Caenorhabditis elegans: one gene and its partner. The protein of the gene in region 1 interacts with the protein of each later gene in a pairwise test. Each region holds a gene or a part of one and is shown in the gene's direction. Other genes may lie near its edges.

What was found.
Region 2: the proteins of T02C5.1 (region 1) and clc-1 interact in a two-hybrid assay, tested with the Caenorhabditis elegans proteins (one large-scale study listed by BioGRID).

What each region holds. Positions count from the first base shown.
Region 1 is NC_003284.9:2,687,415-2,705,366, forward strand, and holds T02C5.1 (TNFR-Cys domain-containing protein), read left to right. Parts: upstream 1-7,508; 5' UTR 7,509-7,520; coding exon 7,521-7,568; intron 7,569-7,618; coding exon 7,619-7,666; intron 7,667-7,709; coding exon 7,710-7,774; intron 7,775-8,646; coding exon 8,647-8,724; intron 8,725-8,775; coding exon 8,776-9,217; intron 9,218-9,806; coding exon 9,807-9,956; intron 9,957-10,004; coding exon 10,005-10,057; intron 10,058-10,106; coding exon 10,107-10,220; intron 10,221-10,441; coding exon 10,442-10,527; intron 10,528-10,580; coding exon 10,581-10,675; 3' UTR 10,676-10,859; downstream 10,860-17,952. Other genes in the region: T14G11.1 (Membrane-associated protein), read left to right, coding at 1,579-1,674, 1,723-1,855, 2,626-2,886, 2,933-3,092, 3,139-3,261, 4,076-4,148; igcm-3 (Ig-like domain-containing protein), read right to left, coding at 11,184-11,342, 11,917-11,995, 12,048-12,093, 13,038-13,177, 13,576-13,733, 14,354-14,895, 14,951-15,078, 15,122-15,253 and 2 more.
Region 2 is NC_003284.9:11,043,615-11,059,922, forward strand, and holds clc-1 (Claudin), read left to right. Parts: upstream 1-3,831; 5' UTR 3,832-3,995; intron 3,996-4,621; 5' UTR 4,622-4,628; coding exon 4,629-4,716; intron 4,717-4,767; coding exon 4,768-4,892; intron 4,893-4,937; coding exon 4,938-5,029; intron 5,030-5,076; coding exon 5,077-5,218; intron 5,219-5,454; coding exon 5,455-5,556; 3' UTR 5,557-5,661; downstream 5,662-16,308. Other genes in the region: C09F12.2 (Glycosyltransferase 2-like domain-containing protein), read left to right, coding at 10,369-10,452, 10,544-10,683, 10,889-11,018, 11,325-11,456, 11,505-11,675, 11,727-11,817, 11,869-12,360, 12,450-12,655 and 3 more; lpr-3 (Lipocalin domain-containing protein), read left to right, coding at 13,894-14,019, 14,074-14,482, 14,550-14,726, 14,779-15,333, 15,387-15,557, 15,610-15,755, 15,805-15,930.

The sequences.
Region 1 (17,952 bases):
GGGAAACAAAGGGAAATTGCCGATGCATTAAACGTTTGGGACATTTTGAACGCATAAACCCAAAATGAGCTCAAATAAACGAATTTTATAATGAAACTTCATTAAAAATTTTCAAAAAGTAGTTTTTGCCGGTTGAAAATTTCGAAAAAAAAACGTATTTCAAGTGAAATCTCCAATTTCGGCCATTTTTCCGTATCGCACACCTGGTCCATAAAAATTTTCCAACACTTTTAAAAGTGATTATTTAATCAAAACGCGGAATTTGGTTGTATTTTTAAGCTTAAAAAAACTTTAGTCCTAAGCCTAATATCGACAAAAAGGGTAACGTTAATTTTTCAGAATTGTAAACACTACAGAAGTACCGTAATTTTGTTAATTAAAATACATTTAAAACCGATAGGAAAAAATTATAGTATTAAAATAGCAGCTTTGGATTACTACGACTTGGAAAAGTGGCCAAATTTAAAGATATTTGAAGTGCCATAAACGTCCTAAAATTTTATGCAACATGAATTTTTACTGTTCTGTGTAACTTTTCAATTTAGAAATCAACATTTGTACGCAAAAAAGTGCAGCAAAAGTGCAGCATATAGTACCAGATATTTCCTTAAACTTCAGAAAAATGTTTGCTTTATTTGAAAACATCTTTAATATAATTCATAAAAATAAAAATAAAAAACTGCTTAGAAATTGTCTCTAATTTAATAAGAGCCGGAAAAATATCCCACAAATTATGGAAAATAATTTCCGGCAATTTTCAACTTGCATACTATTTTTGAGCATTTTTACAGTTGTTTCATATTAAATAAAACATTACTTTTAGATTAAAAAAAAAGTGTTTTTCTATATTTTATTTTTAACATTTAATAAAATATATCACTTTTTGCTCATTTTGGCTCATTTTGTAGATTTGCCGAAATTGCCGCGCACCCCTGATATGTACACTTTACCGGAAATTTTTAAAAATTGATAATGCACTAAAAAAATAGTAGAAACCATTAGAAACCAGTGTACAATTGATAAATGGTGTTTGTATCTGGGCATTTCATGTTGAAAAAAAATCGCCAAGGTCATTTGTTTGGTTAGGCCAGTGTACTTGAAATTGGTAGTGTTAGAACTTATATTTTATTTTTAAAATAATTGATTTTCAATTTCTTTTTTCATTTTTCTTCCAATTAACTCTTTCCATTCAAATAGAATTTTGAAATATACAAATTCTCAGTCACCATACACAACTTATTAAAGCGCAAGAATTTTAACATGCCCAGCAATGCTTAAGAGACGCAGAGTATATTCACCGTAGTTTGAAGCGAGGGTCTCGAAGCGATGTGGCAGTGAGAGTGGGGCTGCCTTTTCCTCGGGTTTGCACCCTCTCATCCGCCGCTATTGATTCTCTTTCTTTTCTCAATTTCCCTCGGGCTCGATGGGCTCGCTGCTTCTTTTCATTTTCGTGTTTTTTTTTCGTCAGCAGGCACATTGAATAAATATTCCGAGGCAGGGTCACAGAAAATTCTATGTCAACTTTTCTTTACTTTCTTATTTAACTCTTACTTTGTCCCATTTAGACGTTTCCAGAAAATGTTTTTCTCCAAGCTTGGATCATTATGCACTAGGATGGATTTTCGTGATGCCAATATTCCAGCCGCCTCTTTCCACACCGTTGCAGCTATTCTGGTAAGCTTTTGCACATGACTTCAATAATAGTATTCTCCAATATTTCAGGCAATTTTCGCAATGATGTCTACAGACTGGATTCTCATTGAAGATATGAGCACAAAAAACGGCACAACCGACATCGACGCTTTGCAGGTGGCTCAACTTTACATGAAGAACACAGAACCCTGTCATGCAATTGGTAAGTCTTGTTTAGCATTGCAAAAAAATAAATTGTGTAGAAGCTGAGAGCAGATGACTGTGCAAACTTTTCAAAAAACCATTTTCTTGTAATGACTTTTACATTAAAACTGAATCAAAAGCTGGTAATACAATATTGACAAAACGGAATGCGATGTTAAAATCAACACGATTAACAGTATCTTGAAAGTGAAATGATACTTCAAATTTAAACTTAATCAAAAACATTTGAAATTTTTTAAAGATGGGGTATCATAGTGAAAATGTTCTTTAGAAAAATCAAAATTGTATATGATTTTTTTTTGAAAATTGGAAAAATCTAAATTTTTGCCACTTTTTGGAAGTCGTCGATCAAAAAAAATTATTTATGGTCTATTTAAGTTTTAAATTTCAAAGGTGGAGTAGCACCAGTGTGGATTTTGTTTAAGTATACTTATGATGATTTAAAACGACCGATTAAATAATAAAACACTCCAAACAAAGTTAAGCACAGTGTTGGCAAATTGCTAAGCTTTTGGAAAAATATGAAATTTCAAAGAAATGCAGAGCAATGTCGCATGTTAGAATGTTTCAATAGATATAATTAATACAAAATAAAAGTGTGAAAGTCGTAGAAAATACATATTTTTGGTCAACTTCCAAAATTATGAGTGACGAAAATTTGTCAAAATTTTTTAAAAATCGTGTTACTTTTATTTGTGGACATTTTGACACCATACTGGCTCTACTCCACATTTAAATCAAAGATTGAATGAAACATTTGATTTGCAGGATGTCACAATTTTTGGGAAGCCGTCCGATTTGGAGGATATGTCGATGCTGCTGGAAACTCTCATGTGGCATTTCATACACCGACCCGAGTTCTCGTTGACTGCATAACACCATCAACAGCAAACTATTTCTACATTCTCATAGCTCTTTGTTTTGTAATTTCTGCAACATCATCTCTTTGTGCCACCATGAGCCTTCTCCCTCCACCAGCTCCATTTCTCGCGTGGCTCCGCAGTAATTCCATTTTGGAAATGTCCAATAGTATGGCGATGGGCTCTTTTCAAACAATTTCCATTAACTTTTTCAGTGATGCTTACTCTTTGCTGCTGCACAATTGCCATCATTGCGCAAACCGACATTTCCGACCAACGCGAAGACGACATCGTTGCCATTGGCGCTGGAGTTTTCCTCGTGTGCATTTCTGGTCTTTTGTCCTTTCTTGCAGCAATGGCTAGCATTCGTCACAGGTGAATTTTTGTATTCTTTTAAATTTTAAGTGTTTCATATTTTCAGCAATCGCAAAACTCGAATGCGCAGAATTGACAACCAGCGTCTTCTTTGTGCACGCTCACTACGCTCATGGAGGGATGCAGGGCGCCGTTCGGAGGACGTTTGTCCGATCGTTGATTTTGAGAGGTTTGTTATGTTTGAACAAATAACAAATTTCGAATTGGAAGTTGAAACAGTTGACACTTTGGTAGAGCCAAGCAGGTGTTTCTGATAACTGATAAACTTTTCAACAAGACTTTTGCAAGCTATTATTCTTAAAAATGAAGTAGCTCCAGTGAGGAAAGTGTTTACAACTACTCCAAAATGACGAAATATCTGTATGAAAATTGAAATTTTTTGTGACAGTTACCCACTCATTTTGCCACTCAATATTTTGGAAGTTGACCTAAAATATTTTTTTTCTACTATTTGTGTTGACACATTCTAGGGGTCGGAACAAGCAACATTGCTCTGGATTTCCTTAAAAGCTTATATTTTTCATAAGTTTAGCAATCTGCCAAAACTTTGAAAAATCGAAATTTTTTGGGCTCATTTTTGGTCGTTTAGAATAATTTTGAATGTATTCGACAAAATCCTCTCTGGCTCTACTTCACCTCAAAAAGCAGAACTTTTCAGCTCATTTTAGTTTTTGGGTACAATCAACCTCTTAATTTCGACATTTTTTGACAAACCATAAGCACGCGGCAATTATTGAAAAATTATTTAAATATTTCAATAAAATTTAATAAAAAAGTATAGGCCCATATTTGCTTTACCAGAATCACATTTAATATAAAACAACTGAAAAAGTGCTCAAAAATTGTCTGAAAGTTGAAAATTCCCGAAAAAAAATTTTTTTTTGATTTTTTTTTTTGATTTTGCGACCAAAAAATATATCAAAACTTCCCGATTGCTTGTTGAAAATTGTTTAAACAAATTATTCCAATATTCTTGTTTCCAGATATTTGGACGATTGCACCGAACTCGAGCAAACATCTTCCCAATCAACTTCACAGTCCAATCCAGCCGTTTGAACTAATTTTCTAAGGCTACACGCTAGCATTTTCATCAAGCACCGCACATGTATTTAAATCAAACATTCTTGTACCTTTCCCAGACATAGTCATTTTCTGCTTTGTATACTTTAAGCAATTGTGAATTCTAGTTGTGAATCTCTCCGGTTTTGAAACCACCTTTTCTTTCTCCCCCTTGCAAAATATAGTCCGGTTAATACTCAAGTAGTATTTCTCCTGTATTGTTTCTGTATCGTTTCCCACCATCGAAACCCATACCATGTTTCTGTGCAATTCCATTTTCAAACTCCATGATCTTTTTCCCTGATGCTTTTATTTTCCATTTCAATTCCAAAGACCTTGCTGCTTCTATAGGTGTCCTACAATTATGGCTTTAACTTTTTCAAAAAATTTTTTACATTATGGTAACTTTCAATATTGAACTTGTGGAATATTTTTAATTAATAAACAAGTATGTATTAAAAATTATTTTGTGGAAATTTGTTTATCAATTGGCAAACGATAGGAATAGTTTTTAAAGGTGGAGTACCGAAACTCGAGACTTTGCTTTTTAGACCCAAAATGACCCAAAACTACCAAATTTTGAATTGAGACGTTTTGAAAAATTCTCCAAAAAAGTTACGGCCTTTCAAAGTTTTGGAAAAAAACGATTTTTTTCATCATAGTTTTTCAACTTCTCGGTGTCGCAGCGTCTGAATTTTTTTCTATTAAAGGTGGTGTAGTGGAATATTTTATTTCTTTATTAGACTCAAAATTGTCTGAAAACATTGAATTTTATAATTAAACTTCTTGAAAACCTTTTAAACAAAAGTTATGACGGCTCAAAAAGTAGCCTAAAATTAGTTAAAATTTGAAATTTCACCTATTTGTCAATGTCGCAGCGGCTGGAAACAATTTATTTTTGAAATCAACGTCAAGTTATAACTATAGAATGTAATTCTCTCGCGTTTTCAACTTTATTTAGGTATTTTAAAGTCGATGACGGCGAGATTAAAAAAAAAAAAGTTTACCAAATCTTGCCGTCCATCGACTTTAAAATACCTAAATCAAGTTGAAAACGCAAGATAATTGACGTCTATACTCACAATTTGACGGTGATTTGAAAAAAATTCCAGTTGCTGCGACATTGACAAGTCGGTCAAATTTCAAATTTTAACTAATTTTAGGCCATTTTTTTGGCCATCATAACTTTTTTTAAAGACGTTTTCAAGAATTTTCATAACGAAATTCGGTATTTTCAGACAAATTTGAGTCTAATAAAGCAATAAAAAATTCGACTACACCACCTTTACACTATTACTATTTAATAAACTTTATGGTATTTTATTAAGCGTATATTTGTTGACTTAAGTACATTTATGGTCAGGGAGGCAAAAAATGTAACTTTCTTTGGAAAAATATGCATATCCTACAAAGTATAAACATGCCAAAATTCGCAATATTTCGTATACTTCCTAACTTACATACTTGCTCCATAACATATTCTTTGAGCCCAACTCTCTCAATGTTGTTCAATTTAATGTTTGATGGAAACATGTTCCATAATGCACTGATAAGACAACAACTACCGTGTTGTCAAAAACAAACTGTTTTAGGTTTAATCGGAAAACGATTGAGACCGTCGTCTTGATGGAATATTATGAAATCACTGTCAACAGAACAAGTGACCAAAAAATGTTGTAAAAAGCACAGATGGACATGAGAACGCACAGTTTTTATTCAGACACCGCCTTACAGATGCGAGAGCAACCAGAGCAGTTGATGGGCACACAGGCACGACGATTAGTGGGCAGCCGCCCGTACTCTCTGTCTTTTGACTGCATCTGGGCAGTTGTCTAGATATCGATACAATTTTGACCCAACAACACAGTAAAATTTTGGTCAATATTTGCTTTTTATCATAACTTCCCTCCTGTCATTTTTGATTGTTTTGTGAGTGAGAGTATGCAAATGGTGAGATGCAACTTTTGCCAATGGACTAGTCACAAGACTAAATAAAATAGAAAACTAGTCGCAATAAATTATTAGAGTGAGAAATAAGTTTTGTGGTATGTTTTTTTTGTGTCTCAAATAATATAAATTTTTCAAACGTTTGTACCTAACTTTTTTAAAATTCAATTTTCAATATAAATTGAATATGTTTGAATTCAAAAATATATAAGTCCTTGATTTATTCTGGTAAAGTTTACTAGATTCACTCCGTGCATTTTTATTCTTCAAATATTTGATTAGGCTGGATCAAGGATTTTGATTGTCAAACACTGAACCAGCTTTTGGATACAATTTTGCAGTATTGATCAATATTATCATTTCTCTTATGAAATATTTGTTTTCCAGCATACGAAAATGTGTGATATTTTTATTAGTCATGGTATATATTCATGTGACTGCAGTTAAAATGATACAAATGTTCTAAAAGCCGGAAATATTCTGTACTTTTGATAGCTCGTAAATCTCGTTTCAACGCTCATTTGTGAAAAATGCGACCTACAGTACTTTTGGTAGCGGCGTGTAAACTTAATAAATTTTAACATTCACGATTGTGCACTCTCTCAACTCTCATAGAAGTAATTGGAGATTCTGATTTTTTTTCCAAAGTGCAACGTACCACAGTTCTTCTCCAAAACTTTTCCTATTTCTCAACTTGTATATTTTTTCGCAATCGAACTTACTCACAGATTTTCAATACTTCATCTACAATATTTTTGTTAATAAATTCTGAAAATCGGAACATACTGCATTGCTCTGGATTTCCTTTAAAGCTCACGGTTTGAAAATTTTGGAATTCGCCAAACGTTTGACTCAAACTTTCCAAAATTGTTTGGAGTGTTTTATTTGGTCATTTTATTATTATTATTGGTGTATTTAAACAAAATTCCTACATGCAAATTTCGAAAAAATATTTTTGTTAGTTTCAATTATAAATGTTGTATATTTATCATAATTAGGAGACAAGAGCAAGATCACTTTCCAAGTGATAAAATTTTTTTTTTGAATTTTCAAGAAAATTTTCATCAACTATGTTTTCGAATTTGTTTTAATGGAGAATGTCATCTTTTTAAATAGTTAATAATTTTTTTCACAAAACAAATCCGCGTGTTTTTGGAAACTTGAGCAGAAACTTTTTCTATTTGTGCTTCAATGGTTATTTGTCTTCACTTTTAATAAACTATCAATTGCCATGTTTTCATATTTTTAATTTTCCACCTCATAACTCACCTCCCTCGCAACTCAGAAAATTAACATTGGCTTCCAAAGTTCACCACCTTTTTTTCTCTAACCACACCATACAAATAGAACTGTTATCAATCTGAAATTATTTAAAAAGACGTCGCTGAGATAAGAGCGTCAGTCCTTTACACGCGGCACGCAATGAGAGGAGCACTGCAGTTACTACTTTTTGTTGGTACAGTCACTCTGGTGAGACCTATTGTACACTTTGAAAATATTCTAGTTAAATTTTTATTCAGGTGGCCAGCAAGCTACATGAGTCCCCTTACGTTACCGAATGCTTTGATGTATGTTTAAATTGTTTTTTTGTAAGTTCTCAATTTGTTTTAGGGGCACTACAACTTCAGAGGCGTCTGCTTCCAATGCACTCCATGTGGTGACTTCATGTACGAGCTGTAAGTAATTTTTTGTTGATATTTTTTATGCCAAATTCATTCAAAAATTACGGGACACTGTCTCATCGTGGAATCTGTAATAAAAAGTCTGTAAACTGCCAGATTTAGCGGTTAGATCTTTAGATACTTGAAAAACCAATTCCTTATGAAATTGTAAAACATAAAACAATCTGACAGCCCGTGTATTCAAACGGTCTTGTCATTTAGCATTGATGTCAGAATACTGATAACTGTGAAGAGCATGTCATGCACACCTCGGTGTCATATGGTGTCGTGAAAACTTAGTGCTATTGAGTAACAAGGTGATTGATAAGAATAAACAGTACTTCAGTTTGAAAACAGAAATTTGATAGCAATCAATTTTCCGGGCATTTGTTTATTCAAACTTGTGACTAGCAAAACATTGAACATAGTGAGTTCAACTCACCATGGGTTTTCAAATTAACTCGGCATTTGGAGCATGGGTGTGCGGCAAATATGCCAAATTTGCCCAGCACAGCAAAACTCGAAAATGCAGATTTGCCGAATTTGCCGAGATTGGCAAATTTTGAAATTTACACATCAGTAGGAATGTTTTTCAGAAAATGGGTTTTTAAAAAATTTATTTAGGTACCTTAACTTCAAAATACCCGTTTATAAGGTTCAATTAATTTTCTAATATGAAAGTTTATGAGTTTCAAAATCTGCATGCAACCGTTGTAGAACATTATCATGCAAAAATTTAGTCAGGGGTCAAGCTTGATAAACAATATTTATTTTCAGTTTCTTATGACGTCATATATATATATATTAAACATATTTTATTATCTCGTACGGAAAACTCGCATTTCGTCGAAAATTTCCCTTTTGTGAAAAACTATTAAAGTTTTTAGAGCAAAATGCACGGATACTTCAAACACAGTTTGTGGATGGTGTGGAAACAAACCAAACTTGGACAAAATTTCTGATGAGTATGTCATAAAATGAGGCTGATTCTATTACAAAGTTAGCCCATGTTTCAGAGTGCTTGTCTCTTACCAAACCAAGTGTCTTATGTCTAGCCTAGATTTCATCGGGATGACCAAACTGAAAGACGAGCTTGTCAATGTTTTTGATGATGAAAAGGATAGTGAGGAGGTAGAAGAGTTACCAATTAAAGATAATTTCATCAAAGGTGAAAATCTTGAGATGATTGATTCAAATGAGATCAACTACGATATGGCGAGAAACAGTTTAGAAGATGTGTACGATAGTCAAGAGCACCAGCTACCAGACCCGACTTATGAAGAAGGAGATGATTCAAGTTCTTCGGAAGAAATTGGCGAAGAGGAGAAGACTGATGAAAATGAGATTGGAAGCGAAATTGTTTCGGAAAAAGTCAAAGCTTACATGATTGAAAAAAGTGAAAAAGTTCCGTCTTCTGTTAAAATTGCGAAAGGAAAAACTACAATTGTTTCTCATGAGGTAGGTGGAAAACAACAAAACAATAAAGTTAGCATATTTAAATTGTGCTATGCACTGCGGATCTGGAAGTCAGGAACACTGCCTGGTAGTGCTCTCACTGGGATATAAGGGTGAGGCCGGACTTGAACTCGTGGCCTCCAGATTGCTAGCGACCACCACTACCAACTGAGCTATCCCGCTTCTGAAATATGTCGGAGCAAATCATTGAAATAAGAAATTGAAAAGTTTTGTATACTCAAAAAAATTTTGAAGACTTTTTGACGACCCAATTTTCTTGAACTAACTTTTTTCTTTTTGTTTTTGTTGATTTTCTAAGTGTTTAATTTAAGCAAAATTCGCACACAATTGAGAAGATGCCAGAAAAAGTGGCTCCGAGTTAAAACCGTTGGGGTGGTTAAACATTTTTGAAACTGCCGTCATAAATTCCCTCACTTTTAGTATCATCTATAATCTACAAAAAAATTATTGTGTGAAGCTAACTTTTTGATGTAAACTTGGGATATCTCGCTCTTATGTTTTGAAATTGACCATGAAAATTGAGTGCCCAATTTTTAAATTTTCAGAACTAAATTCATCATTTTAATTTCAGGAAGCCGAGGCCACATTCCGAGAGATTGAAGCCCTACCAAACCCTGTGCGCAAAATCAACCAAGACGATTATGACTCCTCTGAAGAGTCAAACGAGCGTGAAATCAAGTGGGACAATTGGGTTGATGATCAAGTGAAACCAATCAGAACGGTATGTCTGCAAATCTACCCGGATTTCTGAAATTTTTTTGAAATACAGAACGTCGAAGTTGTCGAAGCCGAGGAGATTGAGGAATTTGACCAGCTCATCGCGTAAGTCAATGTTTCAATGATTTTTATTTGAGAAATTTCCATTTTTCAGAAAGTCGCTCAAAAATAGAAGAAAGATCTTGAATGATGAGACAGAAAGCTCACCACTATTCATTAAAAACTTGGGTTCAGTCTTTGTCATCTGTATGGGAATGATCATTGTTGTGTAAGTAAGCTAGATCACGTGGATTCAGAATGTCATATTTCGATTTGATCTTCAAAAAATGCGGGAGTTGAGACGCAGACATCTCATCTGATTTCGCATGGTGCTAACGTCTCAATTTTTCTGGAAAAAAACTTCCCGCCTTTTTTTGTAGATCAAACTATAAATCAACACGTCTCAGATTCTAACTTTTGAACTGTAAAATCTATGGTTTGTTTTTCCAGCACTATTCTCTCTATCACATATGCTTTGATGCGTGCGGAAAGAAAGGAATTCTTGGGCGTCCCCACCGACTCGCAGGACTATCATAGTAGGGATTTCAAAAGAGTTACAAAAAAATCTAATGTACAAAGTTTATTCCAGTGATCATTGATTCCAGCAATTATATCGAGAAGCTTGAAAGCAAGGAAAAACAGGCCAGCCGTCACGTTCATGTCAACCCAGTTTTCGATGTTTGATTAATTTTATCTTCTCCGTGAGAATTATGAGAATTATCTGTTTGTATATTTAATCTTCTTTATTTTTTTATTTTTGTATTTTTTAAATGTGCATCCGCATTTTCCATTTCATTTCTTTTTACGTTCTGAAATAGTAAATTTAAAATTTATGGGAAGAATGTATCTTTGATAAAACCTTTATTCCATTTCAAAAAAAAATGTCGGGGTAAAACACCAAAAAGGGAAATGGGTGATAACACCGCCTGAGGCCACGAAATTTAAGTGGAGGGAAATGAGAGGTGATAGAGATAGCATATAATACCCGAAGTTGCATGAATGGCTGACAATGCTCGAAGAAAAAATCAAACAAGGGATGGTTCTAGAAGGGAAAGTGAAAAATGAAAAAGAAAGAAAAAACGCAGAAAGGTACATTTGTAATTAAAATTTCAAATATGGCCATTAAAACTTTTTCAATACGGTTTTTAAAAAACAGGTAACACGGAGGATAGTGGATGTACACATAGATTAGCTAGACGACAGACTGAACAGAAGCAGTGCCCCTATGCGGTCTACTATTAACAGAGCTGATTGATACGGTACTTGATGGCTGTGCTGCGAAGCCTCTTTTGAGTTCGAGCTCTGCATAGTTCACACCCTCGTGGAATGCAGCGACCGTTGTCCGTTTCTTCTGAAGTGATGATGAGAAAAAAAACAAAGAAATGAATGAAAGAAGTGAACCCAGTTAAAAAGCTTTAAGCAGAGAGGAGGCTGTGAATTGAAAGCTTGGATTGGTTGAGAGCATGCACACCAGCGTTAGAGCCTTGAGAGAGAGGGAAGTAAATAAGGAAAGCAGTAACACAGTTTAATAAGAGACACGCACACACATAAACGGCCATTTTAGTGTGTTAGACGATAGACATGCGTAATTGAGCATCTTTGACAGCCTGGTCGTACGCGTTTACCTAAAATCGTTTGATATTAAGTGGGTTTTAACATTTTAACACGTGAGATATGAGTGGGATGTGAAATGGTGGATAATATGAGCTTAGAAGCGAAGCGTTGGGGAGAGGGTAAGTTATCACAAAAAGAAGGAGAAAACCGAATACCTAAAACATTTTTTTTGATTACTATGACAATGTGTGAGAATGGAATGAGATTGATTAGGAAGTCGGGGGATTGGGATCGGGGGTCGGAAGATACAACCTTCAAACTCAGACGACAGCTTCACGACTCAAATAGACGCCGTACGCCGTATCGCATACCTCGGGTGGGTGTTGTGCGAACAATCGTGGAGCATTTGGTGGTGGCTCGAAATAATCATTTTCTTGGTGAATGTTCAAGCTGAAAATAGGATTTATTACAGCGCTATTCTATGTACTATGATCTTACTTACTTTGCTTTTGTTTTCGGCTCATTGTAGTCTGGGTGATCTTTCACGCCTGAAATTTTATTGATGATTAAACGTGTTCATAATATGTATTCTGCTAAATTATTTGAAAAATTATAACGGAACTCTGCCACTTGGGAGTTCGTTTCCTTAAATTGTAGTACCCAGCCACATTAGGAAAAAAAAATGTTTTAAGCCAAAAAATCTAAAACATGAGAATTTGTTTTTCTAATTTTCATATAGCTTCTACTTATCTTTTTCGATTTTTTTTTCGATCTTCAGGGTGATACATCATCACCGTACGTTATTAATTAAAATTTCAACTGTCGAACTTACAGGAGGGCTAACGGTTCTAGGTTTCCTAATTATATATAAACGAATTTCGTGATGAAACTTCTCAAACTTTCTCAATTTTAGAAAATATACTTATGGCGGTTCAAAATTTTAAACAATAATTGCTTTACCTTGGCTAAAATCTCAAATTTTGGTCGATGTTTTGTGTCGCAGAACTCCGAAATTGGCTTTTTTTAAATTTCCATTCTTTATTGCATATTTTGGTATTTTATCTTACATTATTGATTAAGCTACATTACCTTAATTAATAAAAAACGACCAAAATATGCTATAAATGATGATAAACCAGTTTTTAAATGAGAGATTTTAGATATAATTTAGCCTTTTTTTTGGAAATTTAGAACCCCCATAAAAATATTCAAGAAAATATTTGAAAATATTTGAAAAGTCTTATTAAGGGATTCGATTATTTGGACTCGTGTTGAGTTTTTTTGGGCCTATCCCCAGTAGCCTTTTCTAGCTTTTCGGGCAATTTCACTTGTACTTTTTGAAATTTTTTATCTTTTCCTCTGGTAACATTGCTACTACAATTTGTGACAACAATCCCACAAGTGGCTTGAAACCCTAAAGTTCACCATGAAACTGTATTACTGTACAAAAATTTTTTCCACTGTGAAGTAAATCTCGCATTTTCAAACTCACGTCTTCTAACACAAACTGCAATAATACAGATGACAAACAGCAAAGCAGCGACGCCAATCAAAATGTACATCCAGAAAGTTGGCATGCGACCCACCATCGCACTATCCCCACCAAGTAACGCATCCATGGAGACTGGGATTCTGCAAAGCAACAAAATTGAAACCAGTTTGTCATTCACACGCCTACTGTCCGTCACTATTCAACCATCTTCCCATAAAACACTTCCACAAGTGACACAAATACTTGACGTCTTCACAGCCATAACGTCCTTTTTCTACGACTTATTGTCTCTATTTGCATATCTTATTCGCTCTCACAAAAAGAAAGCCCAAATGAGGAGAGGTTGACCTCACATGGGATTTGACCCCTTCTACTCTTTCTCCTTTTCTCTCGCATTTGTACACAATATGCGCGCTCACTTGAATAGGTAAATAGGAATGTGCATTTGGCGTATAGCAAAGACATTGGAACATCTTATTTGAATAGTAAGGGTCCCCCCCCCCCCCGCGTTTGCTCATTAATCTACTGCTCAACTCACTGTTTCGATCCGAATTGGTTCTGGAGTTTGAGAGCAATCCGACGATATTGATCTTCTTCACGAACTGGGGAAATTGAGAGCCGAGCAATGTAACAGTTGGGAACTGTGTTGTTGGTGACAGCTGAATCAAAACGGAAGTTTTCCCATGATTGGCCGACCTGAAGAGAGCACATTATGTTAATTTGTAATGAAGCATCCCAAAAATTGTTCAAAAATTCCAATTTTGGTCACGTTATTTCATTGGTTAGGGTGCATTTAAAGCCCGAAGGTGATCACAGTTTTTGAAATTTTTAGTCACCTATCGGCTTTAAATAAACCTTAATCAATGAGATAGGGTGAGGTAAACTTCCTAAATTTGTAATTAATTGATAATTAAAAAATAGATAAAAGTTGGGATTGCTACGACACGGGAAAGTGACCAAAATTAAAAATTTTACCTAAAACTAGACTATTTTTTAACGAAATTTTGAACCACCAAAAAAAATGTTTGAGTATGATTTGAGAAGTTTTATTACAAAATTCGTTCATTCCCAAACTGTTGGTCCTTCTTCAAACAAACGTTATTCTTTAAAAACTTAGGGATTTGTCTAACCCTGGCATTAATTGTTACTCGTTTTATTACTAGTTTCGGGTTAAGTTCCCCCTCAGAATTAGGTGTGTTTATTCATATGCCTATTTACATCAAATTTAGGCCGAAGTCATTAATCCAAGATGCATGCGCGAGTTATTAGAAAGTGCACTGCCTTTTCTAAGCCTTTCCTAATTATAAGATCCCCACCTGAAGGTCATTTTGATCGATGCTGAATACAATTTCTCGTGGTGGACGTGGCATTGGTTCGGCACAGTAGTGAACTAGTACTGTTGCGTCGTTTCCGCGTTGCTCAATGCTTGGTGGAGCATCTGAATTGCTTGGTGCTCCGATGACTTGAACGTTGAGACTGGAAGTTCCTGGAGTTTCAAGACTTGGCGAGCATTCTGGCTCTCCTTGGCTGACTTGAGAGCAAGCTGCACACCAGTATTGTCCGGAATAGGAATAGTTGGAAATTCGAAGTGAGCAGAGTGCTGTGAGGCGAACAATGTTAGCGGATCTTCCTCCCTCGGGTGGCAACTCCTGATACTGTCCCTCCAATCCTTGCGGGCAAGCGGCATCAACAACATCCCCATTTGGTTTTCTCATTCTCCAGTAGACAATCGGCCGCGGATTTCCCTCAACCTCGCATCCCATGTTCACTTGTTGATTCATTTCAATTCTGTTGCTTGCAAGGAAAGGAGATGTGGATTGCAATTTTTGGAAGTTGTCCTTCAAAAGTTTTGCCGATGCTGGAATAGTAATGTAATTAGAGAAACAAATAAAAAAACGAAAATCAATTCTTACAATATGGATCAATTTGAACTGCTTGCGACAGTGGCATGTTCGACTCGTCATGCAGACCGTTATTGGCTTGACATTGAATTGATTGCCCAATCATTTCTGTTCCAATCGTGATTTCGGCACCAGTTCCGCTGTAAATTGATGGGTTACGGAAGTTGCAAATACACAATTTACCTTGGACTTCCATTTTTCAACCATCGGTACTGAGTTGCTGGTGGGTTCGATTGAACGTCGCACTTCAAGGTCTTTCTTCTGCCACTTTGTTGGCACAATCCATCAGCGCCGCGGACACATTCCACAAAGAATCTGGAAGCTTCAACCATTGCATGACCCTCTAATTAGTTCTTTATTCCTGTTTAGAATGTGGGTAGAATGAACATTATTTCCCTTTTTTTTGTAACACGCCGAAGCAAATTGCACTAATTATTTTACAACATGACCCCCCCCCCCCCCCCAAGACAGTCTGCATACTGTGTACAGTTCTTTTTTAATAACCACCTAACCACCCTTCGGCAACATCAAAACGTGTTCGTATTCGCTTTTTTAATGGTCTCAATTCTACTTACCTGTATCCTTGGTTTCCAATTAACACGGGCGATTGTCCGTTCGAATCGACAACATGCGGCTGACGAAGATATCTTACATCGACAGTTGCGGGGGACGAATCGACGGTACCTAAAAATTTGAAAGAATTGCGCGTGTTACGCAATATGGTCCAGGTGCTTCTTGAGAGCACTCCTATTCATTCTCATTTCCCTCCACCTACCTCCGTTAAGAGCCGCTTGGCACATGATGGTTGCACCGGTCCAATTAGTGTTCACAGCAATATCCTTGAGTGTGACAGCCTGACAACAAAAGAATGAAAATTATGAATCAGCTCATGCCCCCCCCCCTCTCTCTTTTTTTCTTAATTTGAATAAAAAAACTCATTGTAAGAAATGAGTGACATTGAAATGAGATCAATGTGTATGTGGTTACACCGTCCGAAATTAGTGCAAAAAAATGGCGGGGTGGGCGCCACAAAGAAATGGCGCGTTAAGTGACACAGGATGCGTCGGAGTGTGGAAGTGAATAGAACACTGATCAGAACACATCCGTTATGGTCTTTACGCAATGGGATGGAACAGTTTATTTTAAACATTTTGGGTGAGTTAGGGTTGACTGACGGCTTGGAAAATTTTCAACGTATAGAGCCTCAAATGTGCTAAAACAAACAAATTTTGTTATGCACTTTTTATAGCAGTTCAACATTTTTAAAATGTGATCTACTTTTGGCAAAAATCATCAATTTGATCACTTTTTCGTGTCACAGTGGTCATCATTTATTGCATATTTGAGTTCACTTAAAGCCTATAAGTGGTCAATTTTTAGTCAGGTTTAGAAACCTATCGGCATTAAATTTACCTTCATCAACGAAGTAACCCGAGATAAACAACCAAAATATGCTATACAAGATGAAAAATAACAAATTCACTTCGGACCACTGTGACACAAAAAAGGTCAAAATGGAAAATACTAAACTTTAGACCTTCTTTAAATCAATTTCATGTCTCAATTAACACCATGCACTTATTTCTGTGAGAATGATTGAGTGTCCTATTGACCAATAGACGACAGTAAAGCATGGGAAATCTACTCTTATCAGTAAGTTTTCGCTCTCAAACCCTTAGCGTGTTGCGTAATATTCTATGTGACCCTTCTACAGATTGTCGTGTTTGATTGCGGTCTATGGAGGAAGATGCACCATCTTGATAAGTGGGAACGATAAAAGTATTAGCAAATGACCTTTCTCTTAACCTTCTCTATGTCTCTTCTGATTCTTTTGTTGCATAAATGGAACTTGTCAAAAAAAAATTCGGCAACTTCAAATATCCTCGTGCTTTGTAGAAAACGTTTATGAAATATTTGTTGTCCGTGTTATTAGAATCGTATATTTCGGGGCTTTCGTTTCAATTAATCACTATAATCAAATCAACGAAAGTCAATCCAATGATCCGTGAAAACTTAACACATGATTTGTAGATTTATAGATTACATAATTATAATTTATATAAAGTTCCTCCTCGTTCTCTTTGCAACACACCTTTTAATGTTTGAGAACTCTGAGAAAGAAGGCCAAGGGAGAATGTTAGATGGTTATGAATATACACGCGCATCTCGTTTTCCCGTTACGCAAACACAACCACTAAGCTTCCACTAACCGAAAATATGCACCATAACATTTAGGAAAAAGGAACAGACTGTGTCTATACATATGTCGAGAGAGGGTACTGGTACTTGAAATTGAAACCGTGTATTTAGACGGAAGAAGCGAAAAAAGTGTTTTAAACCGGATGCAACAGTGACCTTACTTGTCGCAATTTGATTTGGAGAACACTTTTTTTTCGAAAAATTTGAAGCATCTCTGCGTGATGAATTAAGAATAAAATGATCGATGATATCACTGTAGACGAAATGAAACAATAATCAATCACGATTTGTCAAATCGGCATCGGTTTAATATAATTTTTCCGGACCTCTGGACAAAACCATTTGGGACCACAGGGATTAATGGGGACCCTCTGTGCTCTTAATCCTAATGTGCGATGTATAGGCATAAAATGACCAAACAGACAAGAGGGTAAGACCTTTGTGTTGCATGCACTATACCGCCACTAGGCCTTGACCTTTCCGTAGAAAGGCTTATTCTCTTAATTTCTTATTTTCCGCTGGAGTTGTGCGGATGTATCTTCCTACCACACACTCACTCACACACACACACAAACACACACTTTTTACGAAAAGTGTAAATTAGAGACTTTTTAACGGGTCGTTAACAGCTTAACGGTACGATTTATGAGTACGGTGAAAGTGGGAAGTGTAAAACGAGATGATGTCAGTTCAGTGCCTCTTTTTTTTTGGTTGCTTTCTTCAAAGGTTGCAGTGACTTGATCGATTTGAGATGCCAAAGAAAATAAGAGAAGAGAAAGAAGGAAACAAGAATCACTAGATTAGGTCGGATTTTG
Region 2 (16,308 bases), 8.4 Mb from region 1:
CAATACACATTTAAAATGTATCTATTGGAAAATCTCTAGAAAATCATAGTTTGTTTGCCCAAGTCAGACTTTTCTTAAGCTGCATGCGAAAAAGAGGCTGAATCATGGAGCATACATAAGGAGCACATAATGGAATGATTTTTGAACAATCCATACTTGTAAAATTGTATTTATCACTTACTTCACATTATATTAGAAGACGGTTTTAAAGAATTCTAATACACATATAATCTACACTACGAAATGAAATGGATTTATTTCTGAACTCTCATTTCACGTTCTGTGTGCGTAATAAGTTCAAAAGTTTAAAGCCGAATAGTTTAACAATGAGTTAACTGAAAAAAAAACCTGAGAAATGTTTAAATTATTTACGAACTCCGTCTGAGAAAGGAAATGAGAAACAAGCGGAAGACGAAGGCGTTGAAAATGACGGAGGCGGTTCAAAATCTTCGCTTCAAATTTCAAAAAATGGATGAGAAATCGGAGAGCCCTGGTGAAGGAATGAAAATGATATTTCTAGAGCAGAAAGTCATTCCAACATGATGTTCAAAACAAAATGAACTGAACTTAAAAGAAGTCGGTCACATGGCTCTGATAGATTTTTGCGCACTGATTCGCAAACACAATTATGAGGGCACGCAGTTGCACTTTTTTTTTTTTTTGAAGCAACTTTTTAAACCATTGCAACAAGAAGATAGGTGCACCTTTCTGAAACTCCAAAACAATTACACTAAGGTATTGAGAAGTATTCAAAAATCTTTAAAAATTTGTTTGAAATACGAAAAAAATCCAAGTTTGAGTTCGCCGAAATACTGTGCATGAGACATACATATGCCAGAAAAACAACTAGAATGTTTTGTAACAACTGAACTGTATCAAAAAGGTTGTATGAAACCCCCTAATTTATTTGGAAAAGACAATTCCTAAGAATTTCTCCATTTAATAAATTGTTATATTTCACTTGTAGAGTTTGAATAGTTCTACCTTATTATGCATTTGATTATTTTTCAGAATATCAATTTCCAATTGTATCTTAAAATTTCTCGGTTTTTTCAGCATTGACGCAGATGATTTTGATCAGTTTTTTACGATAAATTTGCATTTAATATACATATTTTTGTTGTTAACTTGTGAAAAATTATTCAAATATGCACTGAAAAAATGGGCATCCTAGTTTTTTTCAAGTGCATTTTCTGTAGAATTACAGAATTTAGTTTTGCTTGCAAACAATCTCATCAATTTTTATGATGTATTTCCCAGGATGGTATTCAGTAGGTTTGACACGCTTATTTCTTGTAAAAAATTCCGGAAATTTTTTTTGGAAAGTTCAGAGAAACTGAAAACGTTTATTGTCTACTAACTCATAAGCTGTTTCATTGGTTGTTCTATGTATATACAGTATCTTTTGAATTCATCGAGTTAAAAAAAAACACTTTACTTTTCAGATCTCAAGTTGAAAATCCTTTTGTATATACGAACACCTTTTCATAGCTTCTTTGTCAGTTATTCAAGTATGATTCTACGTCATAGCATAACAAAAAGATGCGTTCTCACATAGAAAATGAAACACAAAAGACAACATATTATCAAACAACTTTTCTGAAAAGAAAATATATAAACTTTGATTGAAAGGTGACAAGAAGAAGAGTTAATACTGTCAGCGCTACACGGCTAAAGTTCATTGCCGTTACGTATTTGCATATGTCAAATACACTCCTTCACGCTGTTTCTTCATATCTTCTTTTCTTTTCCAGCATTTATTTTTCATTTTCCCAACGGCCGCAGATTTCAATCGGATGCCGTTCGAGCAAGTAGTTCCGTTGATTACATTTTCAGTATGTATTTTTAACATTTTCACACGTTTCGAAGAACATTTGGATAATAACACATCATATCCAAGTTTAAAAATACCAGAGAAAGTAGAAACCTCTACTAAATTAAACAGGATGTTTCAACAAAAGCAAGAAATAAAAATGATGAGAATGTAAATAGTATCTTAAATAAACAAACGCTCTGCATTGATTTGATGCTAGAATGAGTCAGATGTTTTTTGAAAAGTACTAATCACTTGTTTTTTTCAATCAACTGTTGTTTGTAAACTTTCAGATCTTATAAAATATTTGCAATACTACTTCAATTGTTCAAATTAAGTTTTTTGAGGATATGTTCCAAGAAACTGTTTCTCTGTTTACTTTCATTCCTACTCATTTTTAGTTAGCAATTTGAGAACTTTGTATTAATGGAAACCCAAATCGAACAGATCTACTACATATGATATTTTCGTAATTTGAATTAGCAAAACTCTTTCAGTAGGGATTTATGGAAATTGGAACGTTCGAGAGAAACCAAGCTATGCTAAACCTTTAATTTTTGCCAAGTTGCTTCTATTGCTTATTTTTATAATTTTTTAAAATAATTTGGTCCAGTTTTCAGCGTTTTTTTGATAACTACAGAAATTTTCACTGTGAAATTCAATTTTTTGGTTTTATTTCAAGTCCATCAAAACAAACAAATCCACAATTAGTGTCGTGAACCCGTCGTGAACCCGTGTCGTGAGCATTCTCGATGTTCCAAGTTTCATACGTTTTTTGCAACATGCTGAAATAGACAACATTCTTCTTTTGTATTATAGATTGACATTGGTAGTCTTCAAACTCAAAAAAACCTAAAGGTGGAGTAGCGCTAGTAGGGAAAGAGTGAAAAACTATTCCTATGGTTCCAAAATGACCGAATAGCATAATAAAATGTTTCAAAATTTTTTTGAAAACTTTTTTTTTGTTTACTGTCAAAATGTGAAAATTACTCAGTTTTTGCAACTAATTTCGGAAGTCGACCAAAAAAAGTTTGTTCCTACATTTTTTATCATACTGTAACTTTGTTTTAACTATTTGTAATAGAATATTGTAGTAGTCGGAACATTCGACATAGTTATGGATTTCCTCAAAACTCACATTTTTTTCAAAATTTTGACAACTTGCCAAAACTTTGACCGGAAACTAGAAAACATCTAAAATTTGTTGGAGTTTTTTCTTATGATATTCGGTTGTTTTAGATCATTATAAGTGCATTTAGACGAAATCCCCACTGGTGCTACTCCACCTTTAAAGGTTCGGTTATTTCACATACCTGATACACTTTGAAAAATGTCAAGTCATAAATTCCGTTTATCATTATTGTTTTGGTTATTTAAAACATCAAATAACCTTCTAGTAAATATTATTGTTCAGGCATGTATGATAAAAATCTTGAACAATTTGCTAACGATCTGATTGGAAAATTAATTAGCTTTGATTTTCCAATCTTTACCAAAAAAAAACCAACAATTTAAAGTTATTATTATTTCCACGAAATAAAAATGTTTTCGAATTTTTTATATTTCCAGACGTAAAAAGAAAGTTAGCTGAAACCACCTGTTTCTTGCCAATAAATCAGTTTTTTTTTTAAATATTCACAAAAAAATCATTTGAAAGTTTGAAGCTTGTTTCAAAACATTTTGAGTGAAGCTTACTAAACAAAAGTTTTTGAAAAATGAAAACACGTCACTTTTGTGTTCGCATATACGTGATTCACCGTAAACTCCACTTTTGTAAAACTACGAAAGATACTGGCTGAAATGATAGGAAAATTCGTCGAAATATTTGAGCATCTGACTGTAAGTTGATAACGATTATACGAACTAATCACCGTTTCCATCTGCTCAAAACTCGCTGACTCACAAAGAATTTTAACAGAAATTAAGAAATGGCTCTATGTCAACTTTCAAAATTCTACAACGCCCAACTTGAGTTTCTTATCAACACTTTATTTTTTGGTCTATCTCTTGACTGAATCATACCGAAAACGGTTACATGACGTGTCGAGGAGTTCTACTGATACGAGCAAGCAAACGCTTTATTTCTCTCCACCTCTTTACTTTAAAACTAGCCTAACTCTTGTATATAACACACATTTTTCATATTTTCTATCAAGTTCACGCCGTCCCATCGACATTTAAGGTAAATATTTGAGTGTTCAATCTTATCTATGAAGCATTTTTTTCATTCCAGTTTGTGTGACATAGCACGTTGCCATTCCTTATTTCTTGAAAACTAGTTCGGGTTGTGAAATTTTCTTCCAAAATTGGTCCTTTAGTAATGTAACTTGATACATCAGGTTTTGTGAAAATATTTTGAATGCTTCAAACGACGTTTGTTGTTTTATTTTTCACTCTCCGAGTATCTAAAATCTATTCAAAAATTAAAAAAATCCGTTTTGACTTTTTGCATCTAGTTTTATCACTTCTTCCTGTGTCCCTCCCAAACTTTTACAGCCCAGTTGGCAATGGCGATAAGAAAAACACTGTTTCTGCCCACTTTGAGCATTTATTTCATCATTTTCATATTTTGGTTAAGATGTATAGTTGTCAAATGTGCAGGCTATTTTAGTATTTTGTGCTGTCGTCATTCTTACATTGAAGTGCATTCTCATTCCGTAACTAGGTGGTTGCATAGATGCCACCATGTGTTTGTCTGTCGTCAATAGAAATTTCCATATTTAGGAGAAATTGTTTTCATACTTTTTTAATACTTTTTGTCCGTCAATCTTCTGAAAAAAATATTAAAATTAAAACCATATGTTTCAGGTTCACAATGTGTCTTTCCGGACTCACCCAAATTCTCTATGGACTTATTATGGCTGGTAGTGCTATTTTAACAGCAGTTGCTTTGTTTACGCCAAGTATGTTTCATCTTTGGAGATGTTAGAAAAAGTGAATTTTCAAACTCTCAGGTTGGAATACTGTTGAAAATAATGTGAAAGATATAACTCATATCAACACATCTGAATGGAATGGCTTGATGCCTTGGTCATGTATTGGTCACTCTCAGGGAACCCAGTGTCAGGATTGGTGGGCGGTATGTTGATGAAATTATTTATATGCTCAAAAATACTGTTTTCAGAATCTTCCAGGATGGATGAAATGTGTCGTCGTCTGCATGATCCTCTCTTTGATTGTCCAAATTTTTGCAGTTGTCTACAACTTTTTGACATGGTTAGATTAGCGAAAGCCGACATTAATATAATTCAAACAACTTTCAGCCTTGCCTGCTGCTGCAAGAAATATATCATCCATCCACTCACCCTCTTTGCAGTCATCTCTACTATTCTTCTGCTCATCGCTGTTATTGTTTATGCAGCTGAATGGAATCAATTTACAAATGGAATTAATACAAACTCGCAGGTGAGAATGCTATTCTTAATGTGGGAAAAAGTGTAAAATTATTTGATTGAAACTATTAAACTTCACTAAAACTCTTTTTTTACACATGTTCTAACCCTTTAAAACCCGATTATAAAGCTTTGAGAAACCCTCCCTATCTCACATTGAACAACTTTTTGGCCAATCTGCACATACCCTAAGGCGCAAAAGCTGCTCATAAACCTTTGTTTGTACAAACTCACAACTTAATTTTTCAGCTTGGATACTCGTTTTGGCTTGCAGTTGGAGCCCTCATCTTATCTGCGGCGGATGTCATTTTGGGAGCACTAACAGTGTGTCTTGGGGAACACTGCTGTTAATTAAACTTGATTATATTTATTATTTCCCTGCATTTTCTGTGATATAAACTGCTCAGCCCAGACGTCGGCACCAATCTATTTGTTAAAGCTTTGTAAGATTTTGAACTTGGTTTTTCGCATTTAACGCCGAACTACACTGAAAAAGTGCAAACAAGACTGGCAAGATGGGGACGGCAAAAAATGTAACGGTTTTGTGTTTGTAAAAGGTCTTTTGAACTGTGGTAAGACATGTGAATATGTCTGTTCTTAGTGACACACTGACGTGTCACGAAGATCAGGAGCAATTTTTGTCGATTTTTTTCGACTTGTTGCTCCCAAGTTTGCGGCGTGGGAGGCATCACTACTGAGGCTCGGTCAAAGAACATAGTCAATTATTTCACAGTTTCTTAAGAATTTGAAAAACGCGCGCAGCGAGAAAGATCATTAGTTGAACTCGGAACATAATATGTTAGATGAAATGTAACAATGCCAAGTGTTTGAGCAAAAATTGAAAGATGTATTGTGCAACAAAGGTTGAAAAAGTGAGTCATTGTAAACATTTTGATAGAAGTAAAGATTGGTGAAAATCTTTAGATAGTGACATGAATTCTAAAAAGTTGTTTTTTCTGTGAAAGCAACTGACTGACAATTCAATATATGACTATATACAATATACATATTCCGCTTATTAAAAATGTGTTTTTATTTTATTTTGCACTATTTTTTTAAAATAAACATATTTAAAAATTTGTGTCAAATTAATAGTTTTTATTACAATCACTGAATTCACTTTTTCATGAACAAGACTTTAATTGATACATTAAGAGTTCAACGAAAAATAATTATGAAAACATGAAACAGCTTCTGCAAAAATATATATAATTAAATTCAGATAATAATTTACTAAATTTTTAAAAACCGATTTTTGAGTGGTTGCGGTTCTAAGAAAAATTTACTGAAGTGGACCTGCAAGATGACTGGCACCCAGATTTTTTTGTAGAGAAATTGCTACAAATAATCTAGACATACATAGGTATTTCTCCTGGAGAAATCCTAAGTTTTTGAGTTATATACATTGGAAAGTTAAAAAAACTGGAAAATCAAAAGTGAATAGAATATTGGCCAGTACTGTATATTATAGGTTATTGCGATCTAGATATGAATTTGAAGGCGGATGGGTTAAAGATGAACAAGCGCCAGTTTGGATTTTGTTAGAAAACGTTTCAAAGATCGGAAGTATCTTTTTTAAAATCTCCTTCGGAGATGATGGCCCCTCGAGGATGAGGGCCCCTCGGGGATGGGTGTCCCACGGATGAGAGGCTCATCAGCGACGGCAGCCTCTCAGGGATGGGGTTCCTCGGGGTTGGGGGCCCCTCGGGGATCGGCTCCTCTCGGATAAGGACCTCTCGGGGATGAAGACCAGTCTGGGATGCGGGCCTTTTGGGGATGCGGGCCCCTAGGGAATGGGGGTCCCTCGGGGATGGGGACCCTCGGGGATAAGGGCTTCTCAGGGAGAGGGCAATTCCCCGGAGAATCATTCTGAAAAAAAAATCATTTAAAGTCAGATATCAATTATTAAATTTATGAAAAATAAGTAAATATGACAATTGATAATAGGTTATATTACATCTAAAAAAGTGCTGTCACACATATGTCTTAAAATTCAGATTTTCTAATTAAACTCAATACTTCGGGAACCTAATAAATTTTTGTATTTAAATACAGAACAGCAAAAAATCTCCAACAATTCCACATAAAGCATTCGGAGAAACGTTTCATTCGTTTATTTATAAATCATAAAAACATGATTAAAATATGAATCTCGCAGAAATGTTTTGTTTGGTCGACTACTTAAATTAGGATATAATTAGGATTAATCTGCATAAATATCACAATGACTAGAGCTACATTTTTTGAAAACTTTTTTCAATAAATTTCCTTATTTTCAATGAGTTATTCGAAATATTATTCACACTGGCGTTTTCCATAAAAAAATGTTTTTAAAACTTCTCGGCATTTGGCTCTAGCTTCTTGCCCAAGTTTAGCCCAAAAAATATTAACTTGGATCAGAAGCTGTCTAAACTTGGCCAAAAGTTAGGCAAAACTTTGGCAAAACTTGGATTCAAGCATTACCAAAGTCTGACCCAAGTTTCACCCAACTCTTGCCAAACTTTGGCCCAAACGTTTCTTATTTCGTTTCAAACTTGGGCCAAAAATTGGCAAGAGTTGGGTGAAACTTAGGTTAGACTTTGGTAAAGCTTGAATCCAAATTTTGCCAAAGTTTTGCTTAACTTTTGCCCAAGTTTAGACAGCTTCTGATCCAAGTTAATATTTTTTGGGCTAAACTTGGGCAAGAAGCTAGAGCCAATGCCGAGTTACTTTTAAAATGTAAGGAAAATGGTTACTTCCCTCTACAAAGTTGGATATAATCAACAGTTGGGCATTAAATTGTAGGAAAAGAATTAACTGTAGATAACGGATTAGCGAGCGTGCCTAGGCATATGTGAACGATAAAGCGCTGTGACAGGTATAAGACTCTTTGTACTTAAAGTTGCATCGCTAATGCATTCTTCAGAAATCATATTTAAAGGGGTTTAATGTGTCTGATCAGTTTGAATTAAATGAGGGCGGGGGGTTCAAACACTTTTCATATTAATTTAATAACTAATAGTGAGTACAAAAACACATCAGCATGGATAATAAGCCTCCGCCAGTTGTTTTTTCTGTTTATACTGATTAATTATTATGGTGATCATTTTTGAAGCCTGCACACTTTTATTATGACAGAATGTTGTTAGAAATTCAATTTAGTATGGTTTAATAAATACCTGCGCTAAAATTTTTGTTAATTATTTTGGACGAAAGACATTATACATACGTGTTAAATCATCTTCAAATATTGTTTAAAGTGACTCTCCTAAATATTTATTATATTTTAATTAACTTTGACCTTAAATTGTGTTTTCTTTTCATGAACAAAAACTATTCAATTTCCACGAGCTGAATATGCTTTCCCGTACTCAAAATTACTTCCCAGCTACTTTTTTGATGTATTTTGGGAATTAGTCACCCTTGTAGTGCTGGGTGACACTTACTTAACCTTTGCTCCGCGGCAAAACATGATCATTTGTTCAAATAGACAATTTCGTTTTTTCTTTGACGATCAGAGTCAATGAAGTTATCTAAGGCAATCACAAAACATTTTTGAAAAGCAGCAACAGGTCCAGCAAAACGCAGTAAACGGAACAGTGTTGTTTGTTTGTTTTTCAAAGAGAACCGAAATGACCAGTTCTCAACTGGTTACTTTTATTTGCGATGACAAAGAGGAACTTCCCAAAATGCCCTGTGTGAAAAACGGAAGTGATTAGTGTACCATTGGGTGCTTATTGATATTGTCATGGAAAAACTCATTTAGCTTCGAAATATACGTTTCATAAATTTTAAGTTTTGTCTTTTGTAGTTGTTTGGAAAAGAATGTCTGAGATTCAAATGCAAATATTGCAGGAGTTCTTGAAAAAGTATGCAACTCAAAATATGTTGTTTGAAACAATACATTTTCTTAATTCCGTAGACCCTGTGTTGTTTTCAGAATACCATTGTGATTAAATCGAGTGTGTTCATAACATAATTTTTTGAACTGTAAAGCATTCACCTCACGTCACCAACATTTATAAATGCATCAGTAAATGAACCAAAAGATCTACATCAAATTTTAAAAGCTCCACCCAAAGAATGGTCAAAATGTAATAAACTGCAAAACGATTCCCACCGGAATGTCTGCCATAATTTCAATATTTGTTTTGCTGATAACTTGGAAAAAAGTATGACCTTTAGAAGTTGTTTTTTTCGAGATTTTTCAAACAGCTAAATTTGAATTATTTGTTTGAAAATTCAATAGTTCAATTCCATCGCTCCCAGTTTATTGAACTTTTTTGTTAAACACATTTACCGTGGAAGTTGTAAAACGAGTGCACTTGTGTACATTGTCTTAGAAGATTAAATGAATCAATTAATCAAAAATTAAAAAAATGACCCACAATGATTGAAAATGATGAAAATTCGTTTGAATGAGTTTCAAAAAGTATATGTACATAATACACATATTTCACTGAGAACGTGTCTAGGATGAAAATGAAATCTAGTATGATTTGAATCGGAGCGATGATAGACTTTATAAAATTAATAAAAAATAAAATAACGCTTTTTATAAAAATTTATTATGCAAATTCACGAATGAAATTAAATTTGCCAATTAACAATGTCTGTGTCCTAATCCCTCCTAATTTAAAATACATAAGTTTTATTACAACGAAAAATATATTATATTTTTTAATTTCTTTTTTGGCGCAAGTTGACCTAAGTATTATTTGTAATCTTACTCTCATATTATGCCAATAGGAATTTGTGAATGGTCGGAAATCATGAAAACACGGGTACATACATAAACTTATCTGAAAACATAGACTGGCTGCGAACGTTGAAATGGAAGTGATCAATGGTTTTTTTAAGCAACACAGTTAAAGTGGAGGGTTTCCCACGATTTTGAGGGCAATGATGACTCAATGAAAGGGATAGATACAAAATTGCATGGGTGTCCAGTATCATCATTTTTCATATTTTTCTGACATCATCATCAAAACTTAGAATGAGGGGCGGGACAGTTATGTTTGTGTACTGCACTGTGAGCTAAACATAATAAACCGAAATTTTTGCGGGGGAGACGTAGGTAAAACGAAAAAAGCACCGCCTCTTGGGCAACTCCTTCGTATAAAAGTTTGTGGAGCACAAAGCGCAATCAGGTACTTTTCAGTTCTTGTGGGTACCTAACCTACAATGACAACGACAAATCGTATCGACGATGAAATACCAACAATTGAAGAACTTTCCGACATTCATATTTCTGATCTTAATAATATTGTGAGTTTTTGAGAATTTTTTTAATAATCAGTTTTAAAAAATGGCATTGTTTCTATTCATCACATCTAAATAAAAGTACATCAAATTTTAGGAAAAGAAATATGAAATAAGACAAAAAGCTTCTTCGTTGCCCGAGCGACGAACAGCTTACCAACAAGGCAGTAAGAGACAATCCCGCTTTGGCACTTTCAAGAAATCTGTCAAACGTCAAATATCAGGAAGTATTAGGAGGTACGGCTAACTTTAGAAAATTAATATCTTGCAAAAACTGTGAAAGTTTGATGATCTAATAAATAGATTCTAATAAAATTTTAAAACTTTCGTAAGTGTGAAAACAACTTTTTGTTAATTGTTGGACTTCTGAAATTCATTAAATTTAAAGAAATTTGAAAACATGTATGTTTATAAGCAGTCCAATTAATATTCTTAATTTTAGCATTGGAGCATACGCGGGCAGATTGGCCAAACCTGCAAATGCTTATATTCGATGGAATTTACTATTCACTTTCTTGATTTTCTTATTCATCACATCTGCCATTTGGATCCCTTGTATCCCTGCCGTTAACGTAAGTTGAAAAAATATTCAAGTAGATAATCGAACAAGGAAAGTAATTCAAAGTAGTCGTAGACTTCAAAATCAGGCGTATGGCATTAAAGTAATAACAATTCTTCGAAAATGGACATTATTAATTTTGAATCAATGTGGTAATAAATGTATTGATATCGTTCTAGACCACGATTTCAAGAGTTTTAAATTTAGTTTCAACTCAAAAATTGTTATGGTGGCCTAGTCCAACATATGCTTTCAAATCTCATGTGTCTCAATTGGAAGTTTTGATTTTCTAGTCGTGTTTAAACCGTTCAATGTTTAGGATTTTGCCCTTGAAATTGTGACGATCATCTCAATAATTCTCCACTGCCTTTGGATTATTGCAATTATCAATGCACTAAGGTACACATGGCGATTGAGAAGATTTGCATCTCATGAAATTAGACTCGACCTGGTGAGCCAATCTGGATAGGCAATTTGAATTCCATTGAATACATTTTAGGTCAAGAATGAAGCAGGTCTAAAAATGAAGCATTTAGTTGGGCTTTGTGTCTATAAAGAACCATTAGATTTGCTTATGGATACAATCGAGAGTATAGCTTCTCAACCAAATGCGAAGGAAAAGATCACTTGTCTTGTTGGAATGGAAGGAGGAACTCCGGACAAAGAAGAGGTGGGTGTTTTTTCCAATGAATCACTTTTCAAACGGTGCTCTTTTATTTAGAAAAAGCGCATTCTGGACAACAAATATGGGCCAAAGTTCGAGCGGTTCATTGTCACATTCCACCCACGTGGACTGCCGGGAGACATTCCAGGTAAATAAAACCGAATCAGAGAAAAATGCCAACGTTTGTTTGATTTTCCAGGCAAATGTTCGAATTTCAACTACGCGGCTAGGACAGCGGTCAAAATGTTGAGAGCCGACAAAAACTATCCATTAGAAGAGTATGATAACAATGTCGAACTGATTGTTACCACTGGAGACTGTGACAGTGTTTTCGGAGATAGATACTTTGATGCTTTAGAAGAAGACTATTGGAAAATTTCTGCAAAGCAAAGATCCTATACTGTCTGGCAATCTCCATTGTTTTATTGCATCAACTTAGACCAATCGCCATTTTTCGTCAGAATAACTGGTCTTCTGCGAGCATTTTTCATGATGGGATACCTTATTCCATGGAATATCAACACCATGAGCATTTTCTCACTCACATTGAAGCTTTTCGAGGAGGGAGAATACACTCACCCAGGATATCAAATGGACGATATCATTGCTCTCATTAGATGGTCATTGGCTGTGAGAAGAAAATGTGTGATCAGAGCGATCCCTGTTGCCACCTTGTCTGGACCCACCAGCGGTGAGTATTCTGGAAAAAATATGATTTGTATTTATATATTTAGTTTGCTTCCCAAATTTTAATTTTAAATTTATATCCTTTTTTTTTAGGAAAGAACTATATCGACGAATGGTACGAGTGGGCACGACAGATCAGACGCTGGACCATTGGAGCTGCTGAAGTCTTCCATTATTTTGCCATCAAATTTTTCCGTCTTCCGGTTACAGTTTCTATTTCATTCGCCGCAAAATTTGTGTTTTACTATGGGTTTCTTCTTTGTATTGCTTCAATTTACACTTTAATCGCGCCTATTGTGGTAAGACATCATCTTATTTTCCAACATATCTTAATGGAAGATATAAAATTCAGACCCCTGCTATGCTAAATGCAGTCGACCATGGCGTTAACGGGCTTGTCATTCCAAACAACAAATGTTTCATGATCATCATGTTCGGCTTCCTGGGTCTCCAGTACATCTGGTTCTTTACGGTTTTCCTGGTTAACTACCTTTGCCAACCGGTAATATCCTCATACTTCATAATGACCTCTCTCAAAAATAATTACTTTGTTTAGGTGTTCCCCAGACAAACTAAGGACAAAACGGGAATCATCCGCAACATTTTCCACTGGCTGATGACCTGGCCCACCCTGATTATGTACTGTTGTGTCGAATTAGTCGCATTTCTAGAGGTAAGTACTTCCGTTCCTATTCAGTAGTTTACATAATTATCATTCGTTTTGAAGGTTACGGTTCGCGGTAAATCTGTCTGTTCGCATAATGCTTCGAAGAAAGACAATCTCGTTGCGCCAGTACCCAGCAAACAACCTGACCGAATGGAAGTGTGAATTGATGCAATCAACAAAATTTATGAATCAATGCGAATTTGTATTTCCGATTTCTCAAGAATTTTATTGTGTACCATAAAGTAGCGGGTTTTAGTTACACTAGTCAATTTTTACATCAAATTATGAATTCTCTCATGCATTTCCAATTTCATTTTCATATAATAAAGCATTTTGTCTGTATCTGTTATAGCATTCAAAATAATTAGAACTCCAGTTTGAATTAAAAATAATAGTATATAACATCATTGTACTCTTGTGGTAGGTAATTGTTTAAATGTGTCACGTCAATCATGATGGCCCTATAGAAAACGCTAGTTTTTCTGTTATCTGATCGTGTTCCAACTGGCACGGAATTTCTCATTCTCTAGCCACAACCGTGTGACGAGCGGATCAATTCCGCGCGCTGTGTCATCGTCATGGACGCACAATAGCTTCTTATCAGCATCGCGTAAACGCAAAACCTTCTGGACGACGCGTTGACCTGGCCCAATTTCGATTGGACAACCGGGATGAAGGCGAATAGCAATCGACGGGAAAGGTGGGAAGAGAGAGCGCAGAGAAATTGAGAGTAGTGAAAGGACAATATCGGAGGGGGTACTTCTTGTCTTGATTCAACTAGGTCGGAGAGAGGTGTATATCGGGAACCCTCCCACATTGTCGTTAGTCGATTTGCATCCATCCACACTCATTGGCTTCTGCACACCAGTGATGCGTTCGCTTATTTGGATTTTGGCTACGACGTTAGCTGTGGCACTAGGCGCTATTAGCGAAGCAGACGTACCTGTAGTAATTCATCTCCCAGCACAACACCACCGTCCAAGATTTTTAGGACAGGTAACTTTTTTTTTCATATTTTTTTAGCCCATTTGTCAATTAAATATCGTTTAGGTTGTCCCACCACGTGCTGTTAATGCGGCCCCACGCGCCCCAGCCCCAACTATTGCCCAAGAAAAGGCTATCGCCGTTCCACAACCACAACAACCAATTGCCCTCCCACCAGCACCACCAGCAGCGCAACAACCAGTGTTGCCAGTGACCAATGGAGATCAATCATTTGCTCCAAGAGTTGGAGCCGCCATTCCACCACCTCCACCAGTCAATATTCCAACTGATGTTCAAAACCAGCTTATCAAATTCTTTGGACTTGACTCGTTTGGAATTCCAGGACTTACTGGCAACCATCCAGAAGGATTCGCTGGAGCCGTACAAGAGATGAGAGCTGCCGGAATTCCAGTTCCAGGAATTCCAGCCGAACAGGTTAACCCAGAAGCTGCCGGAGTCAAGACCGTTACCGATGGTTAGTTTTTATGTTCTAAAATGTTAAATTTAACAAAAACAATTCTAAAATTCTAATTTTTTTTCAGATGTTCTTGCACAAGCCAATCCAAATTTCCAAGACCAACTTTCCCAAATTCAAAACGCTGTAAACAATCCAGGACCATACAAGGGAGGAGCAAATGTTCCACTTCCAGCTGAGCAACCAGGAGAGAATGGTCTTATCGGACTTCTATCTAACTCTATCAGAAAGGTCATCAAGGAGAGTGAGTGGAAATTTATAGGTATTCTATCGACACGTCATACGTTTTGTTTCAGCCGGAGTGAGCGATGCCCTCTCCAACTCTCTTCCAAACCTTCTTGGATCTGGATCAGGAGCTGATTCATCATCTGCCCCAGCTGCATCATCCAACATTCGTCGTGCCCCACAAGCCGCAGCTTCATTCGATGACGCTGTTGCTACTGTTTCTGCATCTGCTGCATCATCTTCTAACATTCGCAGACAACCATCTGCTGCTCAAAGAGCCCTTTCTGGTTTTGCGGCCGCTCTCGGAGGAGGAGGCAACAACTCTCCAACTCATGCAGGACTCCCAAGAATTCCAGGAATCCCACTTCTTCCAGGAGGTATCCCAAGAAACTCTCAAGGACAAATTGACATCGTTAGTCTGATCGGATCAGTTACCAAGCGTGTATCTAACGGAACCACCCTTTCTGAGCTTCTCCCACCAGAGAGACTCCAAACTCTCGCTGACAATGTCACTGATGCTCTTCTCCCAGAAACACCAACTGTCGATCTTTCCAAATTCATGGGAAGATGGTTTGAGGGAATTAACTCTCCAAGAGCCACCGAACAAAGATGCGTTGTTCATCATTGTGAGTACAGTTGTTTGTAAAAAAGGAATATTTGTTTAAATCAAAAATTTCAGACGGAGGACTTACCCGCAATGACAAAACCGCCACTTTCACCGCTCTCAAGGTTTACAGAGAAGGATCTGAGTTTGGACCAGTCAAGTATTCTCTTGGGTATGCTTTCCGTGGAGGAAACAAAGATGCCATGCTCCAACTTCACTCTTCTGAAACAAGTGACGCTCAACCATGTATGTTTATTTCTTCCTCATTTTCAATAGGCACCTAATCCATCATTTTTAGTCTGGATTTACAAACTTGGACCAGAGGGAAAGAACTCATTCGGAGACTCCCAATACGAGTACGCTATCATCTCCAATTGGGTCAAATATCCAGTTACTGTTTTGGTTCGCGACCCTGATACTTTCAAGACCAAATACCAGAAAGAGGCAAGTCAGAAAATACATGACACTTATAAATGATAAATATAACTTTCAGGTTCTCCGTTGGCTTGAAGACCAAGGATTCATCAACGGATTTATCAGAGCATTCAACCTTCTCCAACCAGCTGGATACTCAACCTGTCAATACGCAGACTCGACTTTTGAAGTTTTCGGAAAGTAAATCCAACCACAGTCAACGAGTACATTGGGCCCTCAGTCGCACCCACCAAATTAATTTTTACTGAAAAATCTCTTAAATGACCTCTTTCTCCTTCTCACTTTTATTGCCTATTTTTTCGCCAAACATTCCCGCATCAGTTTGCAATTACTTGTTGTTGTACAGTTCTTAATAATTGCATTATAAATTTAATAACTCTTTAATAATATAAGAACCCGCATAATAAAAATTCGTAATAAACATTTCTTTCCATATATTATACTGCAATTCACAAATCCATTTACAACGCATTGAACCCCACTTAAAAAGGGTGAAGGTTACAAGTACACCGTGCCCTAATTACTCACGTAATGTAGGTAAATTGTGGTTTACTGCTTGATG